Linked DNA regions of Oryzias latipes. The main gene of each other region encodes a partner of the protein of the gene in region 2 in a complex. Links are inferred from orthologs where the notes say so. Each region holds a gene or a part of one and is shown on either strand. Other genes may lie near its edges.

Region 1 (4,145 bases), on a different chromosome or scaffold from region 2:
ATTTCGTGTGGAGGATATCCGGGATTCGTTCTCCTGCTGTCGAAAGAAAAACATCTGTCCAAGAAAGGGTCTGTTGTATCTGTGAAGCCTTACAGAGAAACACTCAGCAAGTGCACTTTGTAAAATCAAGATTTCTTTTACAGGCATTGTAAACTGCCTCTGTTTACAGTTTTGCAGAACACAACACTGTAAAATCTGCAGGTTTATTTGTGTAATTAATATTAAGAGACACTTTAGTGGAAAAACATACAAACTGTAAGCTTCAAGATAATTGGCAAATCTTTAAGGTGCAAGGGAAATGTAAGTGTTTGTGTGTTAAAATAAGAATAAAAAAAAATTGTTCTTCTTGTACCGATGCGTGGTTTCCCACTCGGCTTACGGTTGAAGCAACCCACTTCCTTTTGACAAATGTTTAAACAAATGTCTGTTTATCAAATACAGTTTTGTTCCAAAAACCTTATTGTGACTGATGGGTAAGCAACAGATTGTTATTATATGTGCAAAAGATACAAACTAATAAAGGACATCACAACTCACTACATCAGAAAACATCTCGAGTGAATTATCTTTTGTATTTATCTCTTTATTTAAAAACTGTTTTTGAAACGGCAAAACAAAGAAAATATGTACACATGTAAAATTTCTAAATGGGCATTATAACTTTAAAAAAAATTTAAAAAGGACTTTCCATCTTTAGAAAGCATCATACAGTACATTTAGAAATAGTTTTGGATGTGAGAAAAGGTTTACGCACAAGCAGTAAAAATTATTTAAAAATGTAAAAATTGTGAACGGACAGGTTTAAAAAAATGGTATTTACAGTATGAATTAATCTAAAAACTGTTTATTATTTTTGGTTTTGTGTAATGATTGCATCATCAATTTCAAAGCAAAAGAGCTGAAAAAAGCAAATGTCAATAGGTTTTGCAACACAGTGTTATTCGCCATCAAACTCAAGAGAAAAAAAGGACAAAAATGCTTTTGCCACAATGTAAATTACATTTTCTAAGATTAAGATTAATGTCAATAAAATTCACTTTTATTTTTAAAGTTCAAAAGATGGGTTCAGCAGTAAAATGGCAACTCTTCAATCAGATGCGTGCGTTGGTCATTTGCTTTTCAGGAGCCAAAACCCTTGGCCTGCAAATTTTTTTTAAAACAAACAGAAAAAAAGGAACAACATTTATTATTCTAATCTGGAATTTTTAAGAAATGTAGATGTAAAAAAGAAACAACACACACACAGAGTGACAGCTTTATATTTTAAGCATTTTCTTGAAAATTTAAATGTATTTTGTGGTTTCAAAAGCTACACATTACATTTTTCTTTTTAAAAAAAGGAAAAGTATCATTTTAAGATTTAACCATTGTGACGAATGGTTTGGTAGAGAAAAGTGTAGCAGTTGTGTTTTTTTTAAAGTTCAATGCAGAAAAAATGTATAAAGTAAAAATATTAATGAAAATATATTTTGTTTACATTGGAATAATACAATTTAAATGTATTTGATGTGATTTTAACATTTAAGATTTAGCCTAAATTAATAAGGCAACCTTTAGAAAAGTTATTTGCCGCTTTTAGTCATTTTACAACATAAAAAAGGAATTATAATGTAATTTAGTTAAAAAAAACCTCTTACTTTCTCTTGTAATGGTGTGGGCATCTTCGTGTCCTCAACCCTGTGGAGAAAAAAATTATTATAAATGTCACATATAAGATTGTTTGAAACGTTCAAGTGTGTGAAGAATGTTGTGGTTTCTGAACGTACGATTGCAGTACAGCGTGATGATGATGAGAAGCAGAAGAAGAAGGCCACAGCCTCCGGCTAGAGAGCCCAGTATAAGTGGATCACAAGGCAAGAGTGGTTTTGTTTTCTCTGCAAAAAGAAATAAAAATATGTATTTTCTGTCTGTCTTTTTCCTGAGTATTATTAGTAAAAAATGGTGATGAATCCTGACACCTGCAGCCGGCATGTGCGAGCAGGCGCAGCTCCTGGTGGATGCACGTGTGGAGACAGTTGTTGGTGGATGGGTAAAGATCATCGACGGAGCTTTTGTTGTTTCCCGCTTTTTCTCTTTACAAAAACAGTACATGGTTATTTCGTTTCGCAAAAACCTTAAAATCCACTTTGTGGAACCGAAAATTACCTCCATGCACGCGCTCAATTTCTCCAAATTGTAGCATGTTTCCTTTAACAAGAGCGGCGCAGACGTATGCGCCACTGTCGCGCGAAGCGCTGAAGGACTTCAGAGTCAGAATAAAGTATGTATCCTTCTTCTCGTGACTGAAAAGGTTTTTGAATTGCTGTTCAAACTTCTTTTCCATGCCAGTGTTGCTGAAGGATGCGATGAACTCCATGTTGGAGCCATCCAGCAGTCGGAACCAGAAGACCACGGTCCCCTCTGGAATCTGACACTTAAAATGTACAGTGGATCCTTCTTGCAATGTCCTATCAGCACATGTGGTGACTTCTACTTGGAAAGAACAGACATTAGTCCAAGTTTCAAAGACAGGCAGGTAGATATGACCATACAGATACCCAAATAAAAAAAAAGTTTTGGTCTGGCTTACGCAGGTAGAACACAAGAGTCAGCAGGATCTTCATCCATCTTTGGTCCATAATTGAATCTTCCAGACAACAACAGCTGTGCAGTCCGTCTCCGTGGTGTTTTTTGGATGCTGCCAGGAGATCATTCGATGTGAAATGAAGCCACGCCCCAGCTGCGAAGCCTCTTCTCTGTTGCGTCAAATGGGATCATTGCACCGGAGCGTTTGCAGAGCCTCCTGCAACGCACTCGTGGTCTGCGCCTCGTTTTGAAGTGGAGCCCACCCGAGCTGCAGCGCTGCCTCTGGTTTCAGGCGAGGCAACGCGATTTCATCCTGAAGTTATTGGCACACAAAGGTGGCAGCCAGTACGCGCGCTGACAGTGATGGGAAACGAGTGCGCGTGGAAAAAGGAGCTGTTAGTGCTCCTCTGAAGACGTTTCCAGAAGCTTTGCGCTGATGGTTGAACTTTAACCTGACCCATGCTGTCATCCATTTCTACAAATCTAATGATTGACATGGTTTAACCCTTGTGCTATCCTAGGCACTTTAACATTGGGAGTGGGGTCATCTAGACCCACTAGACAGTGCGCTGAACTTTTTTCTTCAATGATTTGTGATCTTCACTGTCCAAATCCTCTCCACCTTTATCCACCTTTGTCATGGTAGGGAGAACACGTCAATGGTCATCTTGACCCCATAGGATAGTACAAGGGATAATTATTTTACGCATAAGACAATTAATTTTCCAATAAAGGGGGCTATTAGTTTTTAGCCTTAACATATCCCAAACAGATATTTTTTGTTATGAATAAAAAAATACTTCATATCTGAAAATGTATTTTACAAAATGCTTTTAGAAAAGTGGTCGTATGTCTTGGTCCTATATGTGAAAAGTCTCTCTTTGAATTGACAAACGGACTCTGAATCTGTCTTTCTCCATCTCAGTATGTTCTTTTTTGGAGCCAGTTTCATACCATCGTAATTGCTTTGAAATGGAACTGCAGTTGTGTTATAGAGAAAACAGGGGTCTGCAACCTTTAACCCTATAAATAAAAGCCATGTGGTCCAGTTTCTTACAGACCAAAACCCACTGAGAGCCACAAAGTCCCACTTTACTGTTCAGAAAAATACAATTTATTTATATTTTTGTGGCCATCAAGCCATTTAAAAAAATAGCTTTTAAAAATTTACAATGAACTGTGTAATTTCACTTTGACAACTGCACAGGTTTCTTTCAAAATAAAATGCATCCTGTGTCAAAAAGGATCCTACTGCAGTAGATTTGCAATTATACTTTAAGAACTTTGTCTCTGACACCAACTACACATAAAATAGGACATTTGCTTATGCTAATGGTAAACCACTCTAATAAATCAAACTTCTTACCATCATTGCTTAGTTATCTGACATGTTTGCATTTTGGAGGAAAGTGCTCAATTCCTCTTGATTTAGTGTGATGTTAATAGCGTTAAAAAACAAAAAAGATCCCCTCTAGTAAGATCACCTAGAAGTCTAAAAATAAAATGAGAAAATTTAATTGTCAAATTTATTATTAATTGAAATTGTTGGCGGTTTTCTTCAAAGCCAAAGAGCAACAATG
Region 2 (3,954 bases):
TAACAATATAGATGGGCTCCTCAGTAACCACGGCAAAGAGTCGGACAAGCCGCGGATGCTGCAAGTTCTTCATCATGTTGGCCTCAGCGAGGAAAGCTTCCACTGACATCGTGCCCATCTTCAGGTTTTTAATTGCAACTTTACTGTCATTATTATAGAGACCTGAAAGAGAAAATCCAGTTATTAAAAAGAAAAATCAGTTTAAATCTTTATCTACATATAGTTAAATTGGTGTCTAATTAAAGCTTTGGTTGAAAAAACAAATCAATATTTAAGGGCCAAAGGGTTTGAATCCTAGATAGACACATTAGTGACCACAGTGTTTGTTCATTTTAACACCCTGTCTCTCACCTTTTTATTATATTTGAATGCAAGCTAAGAATGTCTATAAAGGTTATTCAATGTATCGTGGACAGTTTATATTCAGTTCCAGACTGTTGACACTATTTGCCCTGGAAGCAGTTCTCATGTTATACTTTCACATTTCTAATTTTCATGAGTTTTCGTTTTTATACCTTTATATCTAATATTTGTGTAAAACATAAGCTAATTCTACCTCATGTTACACGATTTTGACACTTGACTCTAGCCAAACCTTTTCAATTTAATCAGGTAATCTAAAGGTGTCACACATTTTTTACAAGCAGGGACTTTTGATTGAAGGAAACCCGCTTGGCTGTTCAATCTAAAGACAAGAAGTCCCTCAAATTTATACATTGAACTTGAATAAATTGTTTCAAACATGTTTTTAGGGCAATACTCTTCATAAAACTGTTTACTGCAAGTGTTGGAAGCAGCAAAATTAGGGGACTTCAAAGTAATAGCGTCTTAATTTAACTAAATTATTATATATAAATGTGTAATAACAATTTGAACTCATTTTCCAAAAATTGAAAAACAATGCAGTGACTTTTTAAGCTATGTTGCATAGTGAAAGACAGTGTGAACAGTGTCTGCTGTACTGCTTCAAAGTTTCCGCCCTCAAAAATGGCAAAAAACAAAAGAAAACAATAATTTAAATGAACTTTGAACGTATTAAATTCACATCTCTCAGTGGACAAGTAAGTTTACGAGGTAAAAATTGAATGAAGCAAATTCAGCAGAATATAAAACAGAATATTAAAATAAAGGTTTGAAGTTTATAAAAAGGAAAACAAGAATAGTCAACATGTAGTCCCCACATCCATTTGTGAATTAAACTTTAGTTCAAAATCAAGAATCTGCTTTTTTTTAACCATTATGGACTACAATTTCTTAGTAGACATATTAAATTAATTTAAAAAAATATGTGTTCTAACTTTTCATAAAAGCTATTATAATTAGGAGCAGATTTTGTTTGCAGATGTTGAGCAAATGAAATATTCTTTGATAGCTTTTAATTGCTCAACATCTGGGGGCACAACTGAAGATTTTCAGCCAAATCAAACTGAATGACTGTAAAACTGTAAACTGTAAACTGATGTAAATATGGAGTTTTGGGATGATGATAAAAACAGAAGCAATAATAATATTATCAAGCATCAATTTTAGATTGATACTTTTTATTTTGACTACATTTTTTATGATTATTGAGCACAGATTTGTGCGCTCAACATGAGTGTCGTTAGAAATGATCTGCCCAGGTGTTGCTTATGGGAAAAATTGAACATATCATCTCATCAGAAACAATAACACAACGCTTTTGTTTTGTGACTGACTAAAGTATGTGCTGCACAAATATCTGAACCTCTTGCATCAAATCATCTGAAGGTACTTCTAATTTTCCTTTGTATGAAGCACCAGCTTCATTGACACTCTTCATGGGCCGTGTGAAGCGTGTCAATGAAGGAAGACGTTTTATCTTCAATGCAAATCCATCTTCTTATCTGCACCAAGAATCTTACAGTGACAAAGGATTCTTTGTATGCTGATATTTTCCTCATATTTGGACTATTTCATGCAAAACACTGGTCAACACTGCATGCATTACAACGCCTCCTTTAGTGCTTTTAATATTTCACATAATAAAAAACAAAGATGATATCCTGACTGCTTCTGAAATGCTACAAAACAACCATACTTTGCCCTCCACACTTGATGCGAGGTGTGAAGTGTTATGGCGGATGTGTTTAGTTTGCACCAAAAATGAAATTCTGCAACAATTTGAGGATTTCTTTTATGTGGAGGACTGTTCTCAGAAGCAGTACTACTGGGTATATCATTGGTCAGTTAGTAGTACTGTGATTTTGCTATTTTTTTAGTCTTTAAGTTGGCCAGATTTCATTATCTTAACGGAGGCCTGCAGAGTCAAAAATGCTAACAGTGAAGGACAACTTTTTAAATTTCTGTTGAATTTCTCTTTTTTGTCTGATTTCTGATTCTTTGATGGGACTAAGAGCCAACTCTTTTGTTTGAATGGATCAGGGGTCTGCAACTTTTAATGCTGAAAGAGCCATTTGGTCCAGTTTCTTACAGATCAAACCAAGAGTCCCACCTTACTGTTCAGAAAAATACACTTTATTTAAGTGTGTGTAACTATTAAGCTGTTCATTTATACATTGACGCTTTTATAAATTGGTAATACCTAAATTATAACAGTGTTAACCTTTTCCAAAGTTAACAACTTTAACTTATTTTACTTTTGATACAAATTCTGTAAAATAAAACCCACCTTGTCTCATATAAGATCCTCCTGCAACAGATTTACTTGCAATTATACACTTTTAAGAACTTTGCCTCTAATCAGCAAGACGACACTAATGTACCACAGAGGATAAGAATGTGTGCTTTAAGCTAATCCTAATAACAAAAAGCTCTGACCATCGATAAAACCTTTAACCATCACTTTGCTTAGTTATCTGACGTCTGCATTTTGGAAGACTAGTAAAGCACACAAGGCCTCTAATTTTATTAACCCTCTAAACCAGCTTTGTCCCTTTCGGGATCAAGGGGTCACTAAATATTAACATTGCTTTTAAAAACAGTTAATTTGACTGATATAAGATGTCCTTAGTTTAAGAATCTTAACATATATCACCCCCCAAAAAATAATTATTTATTCAAGATGGAGGGTTGAAGGAGCCACATGTGACTCTGGAGCCTCGGGTTGCAAACCCCTGGTATAAATGAAGCCATAATTGCTTAAAGTCAGCTAATTTGGAGTAACTGTAGCTGCAAAATGTTCAAAAACTTCAGTAAAAAATTGGATGTTTTTTAGCCAGGCTGTGTGAAATTGTTGTACAATTGTTACATCTTGTTTTATGAAACCATCTTTTTGACTGTGGATTAGAACATGAATCATTCCAACCTCATACAGAAAAATGAGCTAAAAAATGAAGCTTGTTTATTGGGAAAAGGCTCACCCATCCAAACTTCTCCAAACTGCCCAGCTCCAAGCCGGCGCAGCAGCTTGAGCGACTCTCTGGGAATCTCCCACTCGTCGTGCCACCACGGCTTCTGCGGCGCCCTTGACTGACATGGTTTCCCCAGAGTCGAGCACAGCCCATCTGCCTCCCCTGCATCACAAACAGAAAGTCGTGATTTAAACAGTTCCCACCTAAATACATTTCCAGAACTCCCTCTTGAAGAGGCTGCACTCACGTGTGTAATGCTGCACAAGCTCCTTCAGCGAGTTGAAGGAGATTTTGGCTGTGATGTAGAAGCCACCGCTGTCCAGGTTACGGATCCTGTAGTGCTTGACCCCTTCACCCGCGTTGTGGTCCAGATCTCGAATTGATAATGAGTATGACCCTGGTAAGGAGCACAGAGGTTAGATGAAGAACGCAGGAAATCTTTACAAATGAACAGACTTTTGCATATTACAAAGGTTTCCTTTTTTTCGGTTCAGTTAAAAAAAATCAAATCGCAGTAAAGCACAGTTGACCTTTACTTAATTATTCGTGCTGTTTTGTGTGACTGTTTTATTGGTGTTTTTGTGTCTTAATTAAATATAAAATGCAAATTTGCCTCCTTCAA

Evidence for each region. Proteins that work in one complex are often made in the same cells at the same time.
Region 1: the proteins of lck (region 2) and uncharacterized protein LOC100125537 are in contact, whole or in part, in an NMR structure (PDB 1Q69), measured with the Homo sapiens proteins. The link is inferred for Oryzias latipes from reciprocal best matches to the Homo sapiens genes LCK and CD8A. Residues at the interface, in NP_001036236.1 of Homo sapiens: Cys20, Asn22, Cys23, Tyr25, Pro26, Ile27, Val28; in NP_001139345.1 of Homo sapiens: Arg212, Arg213, Val214, Cys215, Lys216, Cys217.

The regions. Positions count from the first base shown.
Region 1 is NC_019863.2:17,111,502-17,115,646, reverse strand, and holds uncharacterized protein LOC100125537, read right to left. Parts: upstream 2,801-4,145; 5' UTR 2,619-2,800; coding exon 2,570-2,618; intron 2,473-2,569; coding exon 2,146-2,472; intron 2,073-2,145; coding exon 1,959-2,072; intron 1,875-1,958; coding exon 1,767-1,874; intron 1,678-1,766; coding exon 1,638-1,677; intron 1,141-1,637; coding exon 1,092-1,140; 3' UTR 318-1,091; downstream 1-317. UniProt on the Homo sapiens protein: Integral membrane glycoprotein that plays an essential role in the immune response and serves multiple functions in responses against both external and internal offenses. In T-cells, functions primarily as a coreceptor for MHC class I molecule:peptide complex.
Region 2 is NC_019880.2:16,845,583-16,849,536, forward strand, and holds part of lck (tyrosine-protein kinase Lck), read right to left. Parts: intron 3,730-3,954; coding exon 3,580-3,729; intron 3,495-3,579; coding exon 3,342-3,494; intron 163-3,341; coding exon 1-162. UniProt on the Homo sapiens protein: Non-receptor tyrosine-protein kinase that plays an essential role in the selection and maturation of developing T-cells in the thymus and in the function of mature T-cells. Plays a key role in T-cell antigen receptor (TCR)-linked signal transduction pathways.